Linked DNA regions of Arabidopsis thaliana. The protein of the gene in region 2 binds, or shares a complex with, the protein of the main gene of each other region. Each region holds a gene or a part of one and is shown on either strand. Other genes may lie near its edges.

What was found.
Region 1: AT3G09455 (region 2) and AT1G11560 share a complex: the UniProt entries of both Arabidopsis thaliana proteins name them as parts of the oligosaccharyltransferase (OST) complex.

What each region holds. Positions count from the first base shown.
Region 1 is NC_003070.9:3,876,817-3,885,753, forward strand, and holds AT1G11560 (Oligosaccharyltransferase complex/magnesium transporter family protein), read left to right. Parts: upstream 1-4,810; 5' UTR 4,811-4,971; coding exon 4,972-6,003; downstream 6,004-8,937. Other genes in the region: AT1G11540 (Sulfite exporter TauE/SafE family protein), read right to left, coding at 1-406; XTH8 (xyloglucan endotransglucosylase/hydrolase 8), read right to left, coding at 1,873-2,281, 2,692-2,894, 2,993-3,093, 3,266-3,470; NTL (NTF2-like protein), read left to right, coding at 6,401-6,787, 7,066-7,140; AT1G11572 (Plant thionin family protein), read left to right, coding at 7,639-7,908. UniProt on the Arabidopsis thaliana protein: Subunit of the oligosaccharyl transferase (OST) complex that catalyzes the initial transfer of a defined glycan (Glc(3)Man(9)GlcNAc(2) in eukaryotes) from the lipid carrier dolichol-pyrophosphate to an asparagine residue within an Asn-X-Ser/Thr consensus motif in nascent polypeptide chains, the first step in protein N-glycosylation.
Region 2 is NC_003074.8:2,907,789-2,916,460, forward strand, and holds AT3G09455 (dolichyl-diphosphooligosaccharide-protein glycosyltransferase subunit), read right to left. Parts: upstream 3,567-8,672; 5' UTR 3,318-3,566; intron 2,947-3,317; coding exon 2,839-2,946; 3' UTR 2,623-2,838; downstream 1-2,622. Other genes in the region: AT3G09450 (fusaric acid resistance family protein), read left to right, coding at 1-293, 377-544, 678-2,303; AT3G09470 (Major facilitator superfamily protein), read right to left, coding at 3,880-4,062, 4,150-4,273, 4,572-4,684, 4,781-4,871, 5,173-5,423, 5,624-5,668, 5,787-5,900, 5,995-6,058 and 2 more; AT3G09480 (Histone superfamily protein), read right to left, coding at 7,102-7,482; AT3G09490 (Tetratricopeptide repeat (TPR)-like superfamily protein), read left to right, coding at 7,848-8,672. UniProt on the Arabidopsis thaliana protein: Subunit of the oligosaccharyl transferase (OST) complex that catalyzes the initial transfer of a defined glycan (Glc(3)Man(9)GlcNAc(2) in eukaryotes) from the lipid carrier dolichol-pyrophosphate to an asparagine residue within an Asn-X-Ser/Thr consensus motif in nascent polypeptide chains, the first step in protein N-glycosylation.

The DNA.
Region 1 (8,937 bases), on a different chromosome or scaffold from region 2:
TAGTAAGAGCTAAATCGAAGTCGATTAGGGTTTTGTCTCTTGATTTAGGGTTTCTCAGGAAAAGATTGCATCCCACGTTAGCGAAAGAGACGCCGGTTACCATGAACGCTGAGAAGCTTGAAGCTGTTTTCATTTCGAGACCGGCGATGATTGTCATTATCGAGAGGAAGAGTCCACCGCCGCCGATTCCTCCGGCGCTGGAGATAGAGGCGGCGAAGAACGAGAGAACGGCGGCGATTATGGTGGGGATGGAGACTTCAATAGTTGATTGGCTGAGGTCCTCCGAGAAATGGAGCCATTGGCTTGTTGTGCTGCGGATTTGACTCTGGTCTGCAAGGGCGGATGGATTGAAGATGGTGAAGATGGTGATTAGGGAGAGGAGAAGAGGGACTAAATTGATCGTCATTTTCTTTACTTAGGGGGTTGTTTGTAACCTTTTGAAAGTTTTGGGGTTTATTTTTGTTTGGAACGTTAGAAATTTTATGCTCATTTATTGTTTGGTTTATACTTATATATGAATCAATAAAGGGTTTAGTCAACTGCAATTCTAATACAAGGTATTTATTACGGAATTAATTAATTTAAGACAATTTGGTGAAATAAAAAACTAAAGATGACAAATGCAATTATTTTTCCTATGTTTTTGTAGATCTAGTAGTATTATTTTTATTGAAATATTTATTCAAAGGAGCTTCTTTCCCATATCCTCTAGATTTGTTTTTGTTTTAGGTACTTGTAAAAAGTGGTAATAGCATTATGTATTTATTAGCTGAAAAAATAAAGACTATGGCACCAAGTTATATTTGTCTTTCTTTTACATATCAATTTTTGGAAATTAATTAAGAGAAAGGGAGAAAAGTTTGAATATTTGCATACAAGTTTGGAAAGAAATACTTGTGCTATGTGTAAATGTCCTTTGACTATCAAGACGAGAAATGGGCTAGAAACATATATGGGAGACAAGTTCTAGAGGAAAAATGATGTTAGCAAGCTTAGTTGACATTGTGGTTCAAAGTAAGTTTACGAACATATTTAATTTATAGTGTGTAAGAAAACGTACTATTTATTTTATCCCACCAGTATGTCATATTATTATTTTTATACCCAAAAGTGAGGCAATCGTAATAAAATGCAAGAAATTCAAAATTGTCAATCAAAAATGAATTGTTTTTCAAATTAAAAATGCGATAAATAGTGTTCATCACTTGGCACGTAAAAGGTTGACTTTTAATATCGGAATGAATCCGGACATAACACATGTCCAACTTGGCATATTTAGCAAACTTGGACTATTTATTAGAAGATAGTGTTTATAGAAGAAATGTACATTAAAAAACGGTAAATCGCTAATCCTAGGCCTATCCTCACGATTGTGATGTAATGTAACCCACTTCCGTTGATTTCTTCAAAGAAATCAAAAGTTGTGGGTTCTTCTAGAGATGCTACTACTACAACGATCGATGGACGATTGTCATTGATGTTATCGAATGGTAAATCGGACAAAAGTTTCTGGATATGCTCTCTTATAATATCACAATCACAAATGCTATTTCTTTTCAATAAGGTATTTGGGCTTCATTAGTAGCTGTAGCTGAACCTTTTGTTTGTCACATGTCTTTACTCTTATGCTCATCCATGTTCGTTTATATTTTTGACCCACTGTTCTGTTCTGAGACCTTAAGTGTAAGAAGAATTCTCAAGTTAATATACATCTTAAAAAGCAGTTATGAAATATAGCCGACTAAATAAATAATTAATTAAATAAATAAACAGAGGATATAGTCCATAACAAAATAAGAAATGCCAAAAAAAAGAGAGTAAAATTATTACATAAACCATTTCCACTTTAATACACTCAAAACAAAATTGATTTTAAGCCCAAGGGCTAATGGAACACTCCCAAGGAAGAGTAGGGAACCTCTCACTGTCTTTGCAATAATCGTATACGACGAGATTACGCTGCACCCACGCATAATCCATCTTCTGTGTCTTGGACAAATGCCACGCGTCGTACTGATCCCACCAATTCTCTGTTGTGGTAGAGACGCATGCAGGGAATGGATCCTTCCAACGGCAGCCTTCGACGGCGAAGTCCTTGTAAGAAGAGACGAATGGAGCTTTTTTCCAGTCAGTCTTCTCCAGACCACCACGTGTAGCCCAATCGTCAGCGTTCCAAATGCTGGAGAACAAGTACATCGGCTTCTGGTTCGGGAAGAAGTCGTTGTTTGGTACCTTATCACTGTTCTTGTATACTCGAATTGGTACCCTATCCACGAAGAACCTGGTTTGGATTGGATTAAACCGGGTTATGCATTGTACCAATCGATAAAATTAGCTTTGATTGACCAATTCGGTTCGAGTTGGTCTAGTTTGAGTTCTTTAAAGTTTGGTTAAGATAGGCTTGCTTTGGTCGGTTTGAACTTTAAACCAGATTGGAATTTTTGTGTCGGTCGAAATTTGAATCTGCACCATTTAAGTTTTCTCAAAGCTAAACGTAAGAAAACAGGATTGAACCTATTGTGAAATTAATCTGTAAACTGAATTATGTTATTGTGAGTGGAATGTTGGTTCTAACTTCGAACCGATCATAAACCTAAGGTTCCGGTTTCTACCCAAAATTCCCGGTACAGTTCGTGGTATCTCTATATATGTAGCCAACTAACCATTAGCCAAGATCAAGAGAGGACTTACACAAGCTGGTGGTTATTCCAAAGAATTGAGTAGGTGTGATAATCCTTGGTCGGGTCGAACCAGAGGGAATGTCGCATCTCCCGATTCCCGGTTCCGTTCTTATACACATTGGTCTGAATAATGTAAGGCTGTCCGGTTCGGTTCCCTAGAAATTCGAAATCTATCTCGTCTCTCTCCGGTCCTGCCCCATTCTCCGAACACATCTGCTCAACCAAATTTAATCTAAAATAATTAATACAAAACAAAATCATTGGTTATCTTCTTTACAAAATTGAAACATTAAATAAGAACGACGGCTCACGTAGTAAGCGGTGACGACGCCGGCGGAGTCGCCTCCGACGAGCTTTAGCTTCATACTAAACCATCCGAATCTATACATGTGCTTTGTCTGAAATCCACATCCTGTTTTATTTTTTATCCAATCAGAATATTTAAACTTTCGATATAATAATCAAGAGACTAAGTTAAAAAATGTCATGTAGATTTAAGTAGGAACAGAGTAAGTATCAGTGTAATTTCGAAAGACTAGAACGGCATTGATCCTAAACCGGAAGCAAACTGGATTTGAACGTACCGGTGTCGTTATCTAAGGAAAGATTCCAGATCTCTCCATCATCGGAAGTCGTGAAGTGATTTTCAGACCACATAATGTTGAAATTATCTTCAAACGATTGTGTCGGTGTTGCTGCGATAGAGGACGACGCCATTAGAGCCGTCATGAACAAGAACAGAGCCGTCATGGCAGAACAGCTCGTTATGATCCTCCTTTCCGTCTCCATTGGTTGTCTCTACTTCGAATATTTCGAAGAGAGAGAGAGAGAGAGGTAATGCAATCTACACTTGTTCCGTGAGTGAGAAGAGTATAGAGCTTTCTTGCTTTTATTATAAAGACCGGGGAAATGACTGTTTTGACCATTAATAATTCTTTTAATATGCTATTGCGTTTAGACTTTTGATACGGTTTTTTTTCTAAGATTTTCATGTAATAATGATGTTTACGATAATTTGTAAAAGAAAGCAAAAAGGGTAAATGAAAAAGTTTAATTAAAGAAAACTAACAGTAAAACTCAATGATTTTTATGTTAATCAAGTGTAAACTGTTTGGTTATAATACACACGGTTTAGCTAATTAAAAGCCGACCGGTTTATTCATTAAGTTGCTGAGATAGGTCATTTGAACCATATTGATGAGCTAGCAAGGGTACTATAGGAAATATAGAAAACAACAGCAGAACATGGAGAATTGGATCTCCAGGCTGCCACCAAGTGGAAGTGGGATCCATAGAAATGTTCATGTAAAAGCAAAACCAAAAACATTATTTAACTCTGTACTTTAATTCTTTGGTTAATCTTCACTTAGTAAATCTGATATGGGAATATGTCTAACAAAACCCAAATAATATAGGCGAACATGCTTCGGAACATAATATTTTGTTCAACAAAAGAAAGAGTTTGCCTTGCCTCTCTCATATTTTGTTAGCCCAAGACAAGGCACGTGAAACAAGCACGTTATGAATAAGAAAGCAGGGAAATAATACACCTGGAGTTACTAAATTATTAGGTTGACAAAGATTAGTTTATTGGATTGTCTCTTGCATAATCCGGTATTCTTACATTTTTACATAATTACTATTTTTTGTATGGATATGAATGTTTCAGATCTAAGATTGTAGACTGAGGTTTATATAATACCACAAGTATATGCAACTCGACCTTGTTACTTTAGACTATAATAGAGTAGTATTAAGATTATGATAATGACAAAAATGATTTCTTATACATTAATAATACCATTTAAATGATTTACGAGCGATGAAATAAATATGCATGGTCTAGTTTTATGTAAACTCTCTAATCCATGTATGAGTCTCTCTTTTTTGTATTACTAAGTGGTTTCTCATATGTTTCCTGTAAAAGAATCTCAACTTGTCGGCATGTCGGTCCTAATAAGAGAAACCAGAAGTGATCATCAATTTTATTGTTAATTATAGAATGTTTAAGTTTCACATATCATACAACAAGACAGTTTGGCCGAGTGGTCTAAGGCGCCAGATTTAGGCTCTGGTCCGAAAGGGCGTGGGTTCAAATCCCACAGCTGTCAATTTCTTTTCCTTTTTTTCCCTTCTTTAAAACTAAACCCTCTAACTCATCAAGAAGGTTCAATCAAACCTATAAACACCTAGAATTTTGAACAGTTCTTCACTTCTCCAGTATTTCCCGGCAATTCCAGATCTCTCTATCTCCTTTCTTCTTCAAATCCAATCAGAGAGTGATCTAAAAATGGTGATTCAAACGAATCTCTCATATCGTTTCTTCATCTTAATTGTGTTTTTATTTACCCTAGCGAATCCAAAATCAGATTCAGATCTCAAAAACGAACTAGTCTCCCTCCGATCAACCGCCGAATCAGGCGTGATCTCCTTCAACAACGACGACGTTTCCAAATTCATAACCTCCGTATCCACTCCTAGACCTTACTCACTCATCATCTTCTTCGACGCCGTTCATCTCCACGGCAATAGCCAGCTACGTCTTCCAGAGTTCCGCCGCGAATTCAGACTCGTCTCCGCCACTTTCATCACCAACAACAACAATGAATCTAACGGCACAAAGCTCTTCTTCTGCGAGATCGAATCAACTCACTCCGAGGCTTCTTTCCGCCGCTTCGCCGTCGAGTCACTACCACACATTTCCCTCGTTAGCCCCACGACAGAGAATTTAACAGAATCAGATCAAATGGACGGTGGAGATTTCACTGGATTAGCCGAATCAATGGCAGAGTTCGTCGAACGTCAAACAAAACTCACCGTTTGTTCAATCCAACGACCACCACTCATATCAAAGACACAAATCGGAATCATCGTTGCTATAATCATAATCTCGACTCCGATTCTCATCAAGAAGATTCTAAAAGGAGAAACACTTCTCCATGACCATAGAATCTGGTTAGTTGGCGCGGTTTTCGTCTACTTCTTCAGCGTCTCGGGGACAATGCATAACATCATTAGAGAAATGCCAATGTATATCAAAGATTATGAAGATTCAAGTAAGTTTGTTTTCTTTATAGAAGAATCAGAGATGCAGCTTGGAGCAGAAGGTTTCTTTGTAGGGTTTTTGTATACTGTTGTTGGATTGCTTTTGGCGTTTGTTACTAATGTAGTTGTACGAGTCAAGAAACTCGATGAGCAAAGGATGGCTATGCTTTTGGCTCTGTCTATATCGTTTTGGGCTGTGAGGAAAGTTGTTTACTTGGATAATTGGAAGACTGGTTATGAAATTTACCCATATTGGCCATCGAGTTGGCGGGGATGAGTGATCTTCACGTAAGGTTAGTTTTTCAAGATTGTGGAACTGATTAGTTAGTGTTTTGGCTTTCAATACTTGAACATGCATATAGCCAAGTTTATAGTTTAAAGATTCAATAATTGCAGTTTAGGATTCACGAATTTGTGCTAACTAGAGGAATGATTGCTCGAAGACTTATAATGCTTATGGTGTTGCTTTGCATCCATTGAGAAAGAGTACTCTACCAAATAATCGTTGCTTTACTATGTGTGAAGGTTTGGAAAAAGATTGTATGCAATACTTGACCCACAAGAAACCTTCTTAAAAGTGAAAAGATTCTCTCTTTGTTCTTTTCTTCCAGCTTTGTTTAAAGTTAAGCATCTAATTCCTTCACACCCTAGAATTTAATTACTTAAGAGAGCTCATGTTAATATTACTACTGTTTGGTTTTGCTAAGAAAATCAATTTTATTTTGGAAATTTTGACTATGGCAGAGACAAATAAAGGAATTGAAGAAGAAGTGGCAAGTGCTTTTGTGAATCACTACTACCATCTCTTTGACAACGATCGATCATCGCTTTCTTCTCTCTACAATCCCACCTCTTTGCTCACTTTTGAAGGCCAAACGATCTACGGCGTGGATAACATCTCCAATAAGCTTAAACAACTTCCGTTCGATCAATGCCATCATTTGATCAGCACCGTCGATTCTCAGCCGTCTTCAATGGCCGGTGGATGTGGTGGAATCCTAGTTTTTGTGAGCGGTAGCATCCAATTACATGGAGAGGATCATCCTCTTAGGTTTAGCCAGGTCTATCTCTTATCTATTTGTAATCGATTCGAAGGTTTCATTTGGTTAAAACAATCTTAGGTTTAGCTTAATCGATTTGCATAAAACAAAATGTTATTTTCATTGTTTTCTAGTTTCCATCGGTTTATCTTGGACCCCCGCTATAACAATCTTCAATTTTTAATGTTGTTACTAAATTATATGAATCAAACTATAAGCTATATAGTATGAGCCTGTATTATTTTATTTTTGTTGGATTTTTAGCTGACTTGAATAATAACATTATTTATTAATTGCAGACGTTTCACTTGATTCCGGTTCTGCAAGGAAGTTTCTTCGTCCAAAATGAGATGTTTCGGCTCAACTATGGTTGAACTTATTATAACTTTAATGTTTGTAATCGATTGATCTCTCTTATACGCCGAAATCCAACTGATAATGTAGTCAAATATTTTATGAAAATCTATCGTTTATCTTGACTAGTAAAACATATTGACTTTTTCTGTTATTTTCATATATGTAAACAAGTTTCGAGTTATTGAAAAACATTCGGCAATTATAGATTGGAAAAATCCATACAATATAAGACTATTAGTGAACGTAGATTCACATGATCCACTTTTTTAAAAAAAGCCGAATAAGACTTTTCTCTGCTCTCATATAATCTCGTCCACTCAATAGTTATTAAAAATAGGGATATCTCTGTGTATTTTAAAAATAGTGAAAATTGACGAAAAAATCGAACAAATATGAGGCTACTACTATCTTTTGACTCTTGACCATTCTCTTTTACTCAAAAACATTTCCTTCTCTTCCACGAAACCATTTTTCTCTCTCTCCCTTTTCCTGATCAACTTCTCACGAACTACAATATGAAGAACCGGAGCAAAAACTTAGCCACCCTGAGTTTGATGATAATTACGTTATTGACATGGTCGGATATCGTAGTAGGACAAGAAGCACTACTAGGAAAGAAAGTATTGCCGCTATGCCACAGAGAATGTATGCCAATATGCATGAAAGTGATCGAAGCCACGCAAGACATTTGCGAACCTGCATGCCAATCTGGTTGTCTTCAGCTTCAAGGTAGAGGCACCGGACTTTCAGCTTCCGATCAAGGAGTCGATATGGTCATTGCATAAATTAATATCTTTACCGGAAAAAGAAATCAAGATTTTGATATTACCAACATAGTTGCTTGATGTCGTTCACATGAATAGATTGTAAAATAGGGTTTCATATTTTGTATGATAAATGCATCATCCAATCCCTCCAAAACTAAAACAAAATGTAGTTAATCTACAGAATCCGACATCGTATACAATTTTTGTTTTTATAATTCATGGGGACAAGAAGAAGATCCCTTATGTGTTCGTCTCTTTATCTCATGATCAATCCTAAGATCATTTTAATTTATTAAATAAAATTACAGGTTAGCTTACAAACAAACAGTATATATATTGATACAAATCCAACGTCAGAAGAATTCATAAATAAATATCGATCGAGTGAGAGACAGTTTATAGTTCTTCTGAATTATTTTTGCAACAAAAACATAACAAAAATTATTCGTCACAGGGGTTATGACATTTAGCAAAAAAAATTACTTTGTCATAACCAAGTTATCTTTATCTCCGTTGTTATTTTAAATTGAAAAAAATGGATGACATACTAGTAATCTAGTATTTTCATAATTTTCAATCAATATGTATTCATTGATCGTTTAGGATAATGTTCAATTCTGGAATTTTGAACAATCATATAGCTCGTTAAACACACACAGAAAACAAATGGCTAGTAAATAAAACGATATGTCCAAAATATTCTTGCCATATTAAATTTAAAATATTTTGAATTTATTTGTCTGAGATGTTTATCCCCAAGCCCCCAGCTCTATACTAAGATAATGAAAAGAATATGGCCACCAATTATGCATTGCTTAGAATAATCGCACCAGTTGCGTCGTCTGTAAATGCATCAACTACAGCCTGAAAGAAAAAAAAGTGAAACTTAAAATTTTCAGAAAAGTACATAGGATTAACTTTGAATTATATATTTTGGGACCATTTTCTACAAATACAACATATTTATTTGACATAAAATAGTGAAGCATACATTTTTTTTTTTACGAGAAGTCTGTATTATTGATGATAAAAGTAGTGTTTTAATCA
Region 2 (8,672 bases):
CGCTAGTGAGTGTCTTGGTGGTTGGACCAGCTTCACTAGGGAATGGCTTGGTGGCTCCAGTTGCTGTGGCTCTAGCTTCATTCATAGTGGCTTTCCCCGTGTCCACGAGTCTGCTGACTAAACGGATTGCCTTTGGGCAGATTGTTGTAGTCTACGTGACTTTTGTGGTGTTCAATGGAGAGGTGGCTCATGTATTCATGCTCCCGGTTCATGTGGCAGGCAGTACAGCACTTGGAGCCATTGCTTCACTCATCGCAGTGCTTCTCCCGTTTCCAAGGCTGGCTCATAGTCAGGTGAGTCTTGAGTTTTTTTTTTGTTTTTCCACGACGATGAGATGGTCACAAAATACTTACCTTGGGTTTTAAATGGTTTGCAGATGAGTAAGGGTTGCAAATTATATGCTGAAAATGCTCTTGAGAGGTTGAATATGTTTGTGGAGATCATGATGGCACGAGACAACACCACAGCTCAGGTTTTGATCGCACGGGCTGCTTCATTGTCTGCAGCAGCTAAAAACACACTCAAGAACATCAAAATCCACCATGTAAGCCAACTGTCTAAACAAAATTAAGCATAATCACTGAAATATCATCTGTTATATAACTGTAACTCTTTTGTTTTGACCCGTCTTGTGGGACTAATTATCTGTTTCTGACTAATCAATTCTTTGGCAACAGGAGCGTATATCATGGGAGAGACCAGATACAAGATTCTTGAGCAGGAAGCAGAAGTTGGATCCTGCAGAGAAACTGCATGCAACAGATTTTCTGTTGAGGGGATTGGAGCTGGCTTTGGGCTCTTGCAGTTCCTTTCCTCAAGGCATGAGCCGCGACGAACTGACTCGTCTTTTAGAAGGTCCCAGGACACATATTGCTCCACGGTCAGAATCTACTCTCAAGTCCCAAGATAGTCTAGGGTGGCATCATGAGGCTGAGTCTCTGTCTACTGCAGCTTTACCGGTTTGCTTCTTCCGGTACTGCGTAGAACTCTTCAGAGGTGATTTCTTATCTTTGAGACAAGACAGTAAATCCGTAAATGGAAGGACCACGGAGGAAGAAATTCATCCAGCAAACGAAGGGTTGTCCATGGCCAGAAAGTTTTGGGACATTCTCTGTGTCTGGATGGCCAGAGAAAGGTTTGTTTTTGCATTCAAGTGCTCAATTTCTCTTGGCCTTGCGGTGCTGTTTGGTATACTGTATAATAAAAATAACGGGTATTGGTCGGGTCTAACTGTAGCCATTAGCCTTGTAAGCGGTAGGCAAGCAACACTAACAGTAGCAAATTCTCGTCTACAAGGGACAGCCATGGGATCAGTCTACGGTCTAATATGTTGTTCTGTTTTCCAAAGACTAGAAGAATTCAGGTTCTTACCTCTTCTCCCTTGGATAATCCTCGCCGTCTTCATGAGGCACAGCAAAGTCTATGGCCAGCCTGGAGGAGTTACGGCTGCAATTGCTGCACTGTTGATACTTGGGAGGAGAAATTATGGAGCTCCAACTGAATTTGCAATCGCTCGCATCGTTGAAGCTTCGATCGGGTTGCTCTGTTTTGTCTTCGGGGAGATTCTTGTCACCCCTGCGAGAGCAGCAACGCTTGCAAGAACCGAAATTTCACACTGTCTCGATGCCCTCTTAGATTGCATCCAATCACTCGTTCTTTGTTCTGAGCAGAAGAACCAGAAAGTGGTTGCAGATTTGAGAAAAAGTCAGGTAAAACTCAAATCTCATGTTGAAGCATTAGAGAGGTTTGCAGCAGAAGCCTTAACAGAGCCTAAGATTCCGTTCCTCCGCCGGCTCAACACGGACAGTTACAACAGGCTTTTGGGCTCTTTCTCGAAGATATCTGATCTTTGTCTCTATGTTTGTGATGGCCTCAAAAATCTATCTGGAGTTCAACCAACACTTGCATTTCCTTGGGACAACATCACTCATGAGCTTAGAGCCTTCCAAGAAAAGCTTCACCCTTCGGTGAAATGCTTAAAAGAGATTTCTCAAACCAAGTCTCAAGCAAGACTCCAAAAGGAGTTGCAGAAGAGAAAGATCTGCCATGATGTTGAAGCAGGAACAACATCAAACGACAACTACTCATACATGGAGCTGGGTCCAAGCCAGGCTGATGTGGAGAGGTTTTCGGTTTCTTTCGTCATGCTACTGAAGGAAGCAACAGACAAGATAAGTTGTAACACAGCAGACGATGCGTTCAAGAGTGAAACTGCCCTATGTCTGAGCAGTCTAGGGTTCTGCATTAGCAGATTAATGCAGGAAACAATATGTATTATGACAGAAATAACCCATACAACTTGATTTTGGAAGAATTCTAGAGGATGTTAGTACCTATAGCACAAACCATTTTGTAAGAAACGTTTGGTGTACAAAATTAATCTAAAAAAGAGCAAAAACGAAGCAAATTGTTTCTCTAGAGCAACAAAACATAGAAACGCTGCAAACAGAACAATTCTCATTATTAACTGGAGTTCATCTAGCTCTAGCTCTAACAGATACACGGACTCGTGATTGGTCTTGTATCAATGAACATGTAAATCCAAACAAAAATATACAGCAAAGCTTTCACCAACCTATCAGATAACAAATCCGCTCATAATTTAACATGCAAGACCCGGAAATTGCTATAGAAACAAGCCTTTTATAGCGAATTATCAAAGTATATGAATAACAGCACTACAAAAAAAAAAGATTTCTGCAGCTAAAACCAAGTATTACAAAAGCTTAAACATCTTCCTTAAGAGCTACAAAAAAACATCTTCAAGTATCGAATCTGAATGACATGTTGAGTCTGACATAACATTGTAGAAACCAACAATGATTCTGAACCTCATTTCTATTCGAATTTAGGGTCAGCCATGACGAAATGGTAGGCAATCACCAGTATGAAAATGAAGATTCCCAGGAAATTGGCAAAGAATCCCAGATCTTGATCGTCAAACATCTGTAACACAATAACCATTGGAGAGAATATTAGAACAAAGAGCTAAGCTTAGCAAGTGAAGTCTGAAGATTAAACGAATCAGATATTCACAAAAATGTTCACATCTACTACATTCTCAGCTATATCTTGTAGAAATCACTCCAAAATCTCAGCTAGATCTAGAGGATATCCGAATCATTATCAAAATTGGTAGCAACGATTACGGTCATACATTATAATGAATCCATGATTTTGATTACAAATTCAATATATATTTCTTCTACAAACAAGACCTGATCTGGAACACGAAATCTAGTAAGAACAATACGTGTTAATAAAAATAATATTGATTCATAAGATAACCAAACCACGACATTGGTTGAATCTGATACCTGTGAGATGAAACAAAGGCTTTGCTCAGATCACAGTGTAAACCTCGGGGACTAAATTATGCCTAAGAACCAGAATTTGAATTCGAAAATATGAAGGTATATAAAAAAAGATCCTAAAGAAATCACCGATTATTTACCTTCGAAAGCGCAGAGAATTTCGTGATAGAGAATTCTGGAAGAGCAGGGAACTCGTGAAATGTGTTTCTTCAACTGTGAAGTCTCTCTGAATGAAACACATGTTTTACAAAAATAAAGTAAAAGCTAGCTCCAAACGACGACGTTTCTAGTTAATTTAACCGAGAAATTCACATCTATTAGATTTGGTTCTTGTGGTTTAATTTGGTCAATATCGGTTTGCTACAAATGTCATATCCAGGACATGAATAAAGGAAAGACTGAAAAATTGAAAAGTTGCATACTTCCCAAGTCTCAATTATAAGGAACTTCCAGAGACATTAATTATTATACAAAACGACCATTTTTGTTCTTTACAATTGAATAGACAATACTGTTTTAAGCTTTTCACACTTGTGATCTCCCCGAATGTGAACAGATCAAAGAGTTATTCGTCGTGGGTAAATACATTCTCTACCTTAAGAGCTAAAAACAGGAAAGAGAAGAGTGAAACACAGACCATAACCAGCATCACTATGAGCATTGCTTGCAGTGATATGTACGGGCTTAGGAAGAACACTATCGCTATTGCTGCGCTCTGCCATACTTTTAGCTGCGCAAATGCTCCTTCCTGTTTTCACAAGTACAAACATAGGAGACCGTTTAGAGGATTTGTCAGTTGAGAGAATAACAATAATAATATTTTGATAATATTAACCGTGTCATGTTTGAAGAGTAATGCGAGAAGAGCACTGATTTGAGTATTTAATATTCCATCACCAATTCCTAATATGGCCGCCATTATAAGTGGGTAAGCTGTGCCAAGTACTCCGCTAGTTTGCCTGCATCACCATATCACCATAGCTTAGATTCTTCAGAAACACTTATAGGTTGTCAGGTGCCCGCAATTCCTAATTCTCTTCAGAACTTGCATAGTTTCACAAATATGACAAAGAAATCGGGATACTACCAAAGGAAGTTGCTTGATCAATGCCACTAATACATACCAATACCCATAATGAAGCTTTATGAGGAAATCATTTCATGAATTCAGAAACACAAGGACTTCTAGACTCGATATGTCTCTATTTGTGAAGTTGCTAATGGTTTGAATGAAAATAGGGTGTAGAAGTATCAAACCTGTACCCGAGAAGAAGCCAGAGAAACACAGAAGCTTGAGCAACAGCTCCACCAGAAACTATGAAGGTGATCGATGACAAACCAGAGGTAAACCTTCCAGCAGTCATTGAACACTAGAATGATTTTACAGCAGGAAAAATAAGGATTAACCACATAAAAAAAACACGAGAGTAAAAAAGGATGATTTTTTACGTTTCCTTTTAACTTACAACTGCATCAAGAGCTCCGTAGACTGCCATCGCCCCACCAACACCTGAGACACCAATCGCCGGCGTAACAATTTCCTTTGTAAACTCAGCCCTATAGAGTGGAAAATGTAACTTGTAAGAATAATGAAGATTTATATCAGTATATCTTACAAAAAAAATAACAAACTTTTGCTGATTTCGCTGACAAGAAATGAAAACTTATGTATAGATTGGAAACAACTATTCACTGCTAAGATCCTGAGACTCCAACCACCACAATGAACTTTATGTACGTTATCTAGGGCCTGACCGATAATAACTTTGATCGCAATAAATCCTAATCATTTAAGGATATCCTTGTGAGAATAAAAGGGAAAACGGGGAATGTATATCCAGTTTGTTGAGAGACATACCAAACAAATGCTTGTTGCAATCCTGAATATGCAAGGAGTGGGACAATCAGTAGCATCCGTATGTCGAGCAAAGGAGTAATTATCATCCTTGGAAGAGATGCCAAGGAATCAACTAAGCCCACAGGAGAACCCACAGGTCCTTTTCCATCTTCTCCATCAATTTTCCGAATGAAGAACATAAGTATTGTTCCTAATGTCATACTGAAGAGAAACACCAACATCAATAAGGTAGTGCCACTGGTGCTTCCTTCCTACAGTCATGTCAACAAGAAGAAAACAATGGTGGGGATACCCAACTAGAAGGAGGTATATATAATTCATCACTGAGAATGTGTAGCATGATCTGCTATTCAATACTCCAACTTTAGGAATGATCACTTCATTAAACAGTAGTCAATACTAATAACTCTAATACATGAGATTGCTGTCAACGATAAAGAAAAGTTAGTACCTTTCCATCTTTCAGTAATGCAAGTGTGATGAGATTCCCAAACAGCTACAAAAAGATTGACATGAAATGTGTCACAAGAAGAATTAAGAGTAAGTGCATACAAGATTCTGAGGTAACCAAAGAAGAAAGAGCATTAAGAAAGCATAATAAAAGAAACATGCACCTGGTGGCAGGCAAACATAGCCCAAAATTCCCCATTGAAGACACCTATTACCGAACCTTCATGCAGGCCATGATCTGTAGCATGGCTTCTCGCAATTGATGTAAGGTATGTTCCCTAATGCAGTCAATACAATGTAATTTAAGGTCATGAAATCCACTATATATCCGCATAAATAACATTAAGAGAAAACAAGAGCATGTAGTGTCACCTGACCAACCCATATTATTGAAGCTGCAAATCCAAGGTATAAAGAGGCTGGTACCATAGTAAACCTAGAACCAATAACCATATATCAAGACAAAAAGTGTTAAAGACTAAAAGATTCAAATAGATGGAGACAGGTGGCCAAAAGAAGCAAGAGAACATATGATAATACCATGATGGCTTCAGATTAGCAGCAACAAAGAGCCAATACCCAGTAGTTCCTAAAACCAGAGCATTCTTTGATCCCATTAACCGGACAACCAAAGATGCAACCATGGAGCAAAACATGAAGGACACATACAATATCCCCAGAGAGATTGTTCCCAAATCCTGAAGTAATCAAAACAACTCAAATATCACAACACACACACACAGTCTAACATGTCCTGCTCCTAAATTCATATTCCTCTCTCTTAAGATCCATCAATACAAAATGACAGTATAATTTAACGGTAGAGCACCTTATTTACGGTAGTTTCGAGGTTCTGAGCAGCACCGTAAGCGAGGAAGATTAGCAGAAAGGAGATGCTGAGGATATGAACATCCCTTGTGTAGCACTTTCCAGCTCTGACTTTCCGATCCTCACCAGAGGCAGAGATCAACGGCGCCTCCTCGTCGTTTCGAGATTCCATGGCGGAGATTTAGTCCGGTCACCTCACTGACTACAGCTCCGGGAAAGATGAGCGGTGCTCCACGGAGAGAGTGAAAGTCAAACTCTGTAGAGAGAGAGATCGATGCCTACCGTTTCAGAGATTTGGAACTTCCAAGACCGGTGATGATTGCGGTTCGGTTTATTTTGGTACGGTATTTCTAATTTCAATTTATATCGGTTCAGACTAAATTGAGATTGGTGTTTGTTGGGCTGGGCCAATTAAAGAATCTCAAGATTTATAATTTCCGTTTATTTCCCGGGGAAACTGAGGAAGAAACGAGATCCTTTACAATTTTGTATTTATTATACCCAAAGATTTGTAAACCCTAATTTCAATAGCATCATAACGTAAAATCAATCATAGAAAATATCGAAGAGACTGCCGAAAATTATATCTTTGAAATCAACTGGTGAACATATTAACCGAAAATAAAATCGAAGAGAAAAAAAGAACCTAATCTAAGAACTGGTGAATTTGGTGACGGCTTTGGTACCCTCAGAAACAGCGTGCTTCGCTAATTCACCAGGCAACACGAGCCTTACGGCGGTTTGGATTTCCCGGGACGTGATCGTCGGTTTCTTGTTATACCTAGCCAATCGCGACGATTCCAGAGCAATTTTCTCGAAGGTGTCGTTGATGAAACTGTTCATGATTCCCATGGCTTTTCCAGAGATCCCGATATCAGGATGAACTTGTTTCAACACCTTGAATAGGTAGATCTTGTACGTCTCTGTGCTCTTCTTAGTCTTCTTCTTCCTCTCGCTTCCTCCTTCTTTCGTGATCTTCTTATCTGCCTTTGGTGCTTTCTCCGACGGTTTCTTCTCTGCCTTCGGTGCCATTGCTTTGGATAAAATTCGGATTTCGCGACTAGTTGTAAATTGACGATTAATGATCGCTCTCCGAGTGATACCGAGATATATATAGAGGTGCTGATACGAACATGATTGGTTTTTGATCAATCTCACGGATCGTCTACGTGGCGTTATCACGTGCGTTGATACAAGATAATCTACGGTTGAATTCACGAGAGGAACCGAACTAATCGTGGGCTCATCTAATGGGCCTTGGCCTTTTACAAGACGGCATCCTTTTTAAAAAATTTCGTCGATTTCCAACTTATTTGCTCTGCTCTTCTTTAATCTGCTCTGTTCTTCTCTTTCCATTTCAGCGTTGACTTAGTTATTGGGATTTCTCAGAAGCAAAAATGGCGTCTCCGGCGACGTTTCAATTCTCTAGAACAAAACTTAACCTTCAGATCAACCTCGTCGAGCGAAAATCTCCTTCAAAACTCTCGTTTCCTCTTTTATTCAGAGACCAAGCAAAGTCAACACCAATCAGATTTCCCGTCATAAGAGCTTCATCATCTTCGTCGGCGTCAAATCATAAACCTTCACTGCTTAAAACCACCTTCATCAGCCTCACCGCAGCCGCAGCTCTGTTCTCAGCATCGTTTTACTTCGTCAACAAACGCGCCGCGATGACTCCAGTTGCTGTGGTAGAGACGACACTCGAGAAGCACCTCGAGACACAATCAAACGATGTGAATGCTTTATCATTGCTGACGGAAATCAAATTTAAGTCCGATAAACATGAGCAGGCGATTGTATTTCTGGACCGTCTGATCGAGATCGAGCCATATGAACGAAAATGGCCGGCTATGAAGGCTCGGATTCTCTCATACCACGGGAAAAGTGAATCAGCAATCGAAGCTTTCGAGGAGATTCTCGAAAAGGATCCGATACGCGTCGATGCTTATCATTACTTGGTGATGGAGTATTACAACTCTAAACCTAAATTAACAGAGATAGAGAAGAGGATCAACAAAGTGATTCGAAGATGCAAGAAGGAGAAGAAGACGAAAGAGATTCTCGGTTTCAGAATGTTGATCGCACAGATTAGGTTTATTGAAGGAAAATCAGTTGAAGCAATTCGGATTTGTGAAGAGCTAGTGAAGGAAGATCCAAATGATTTCACTATATATTTGTTTCAAGGAGTCGTGTATACATTGATGAATAAGGGAGAGGAAGCT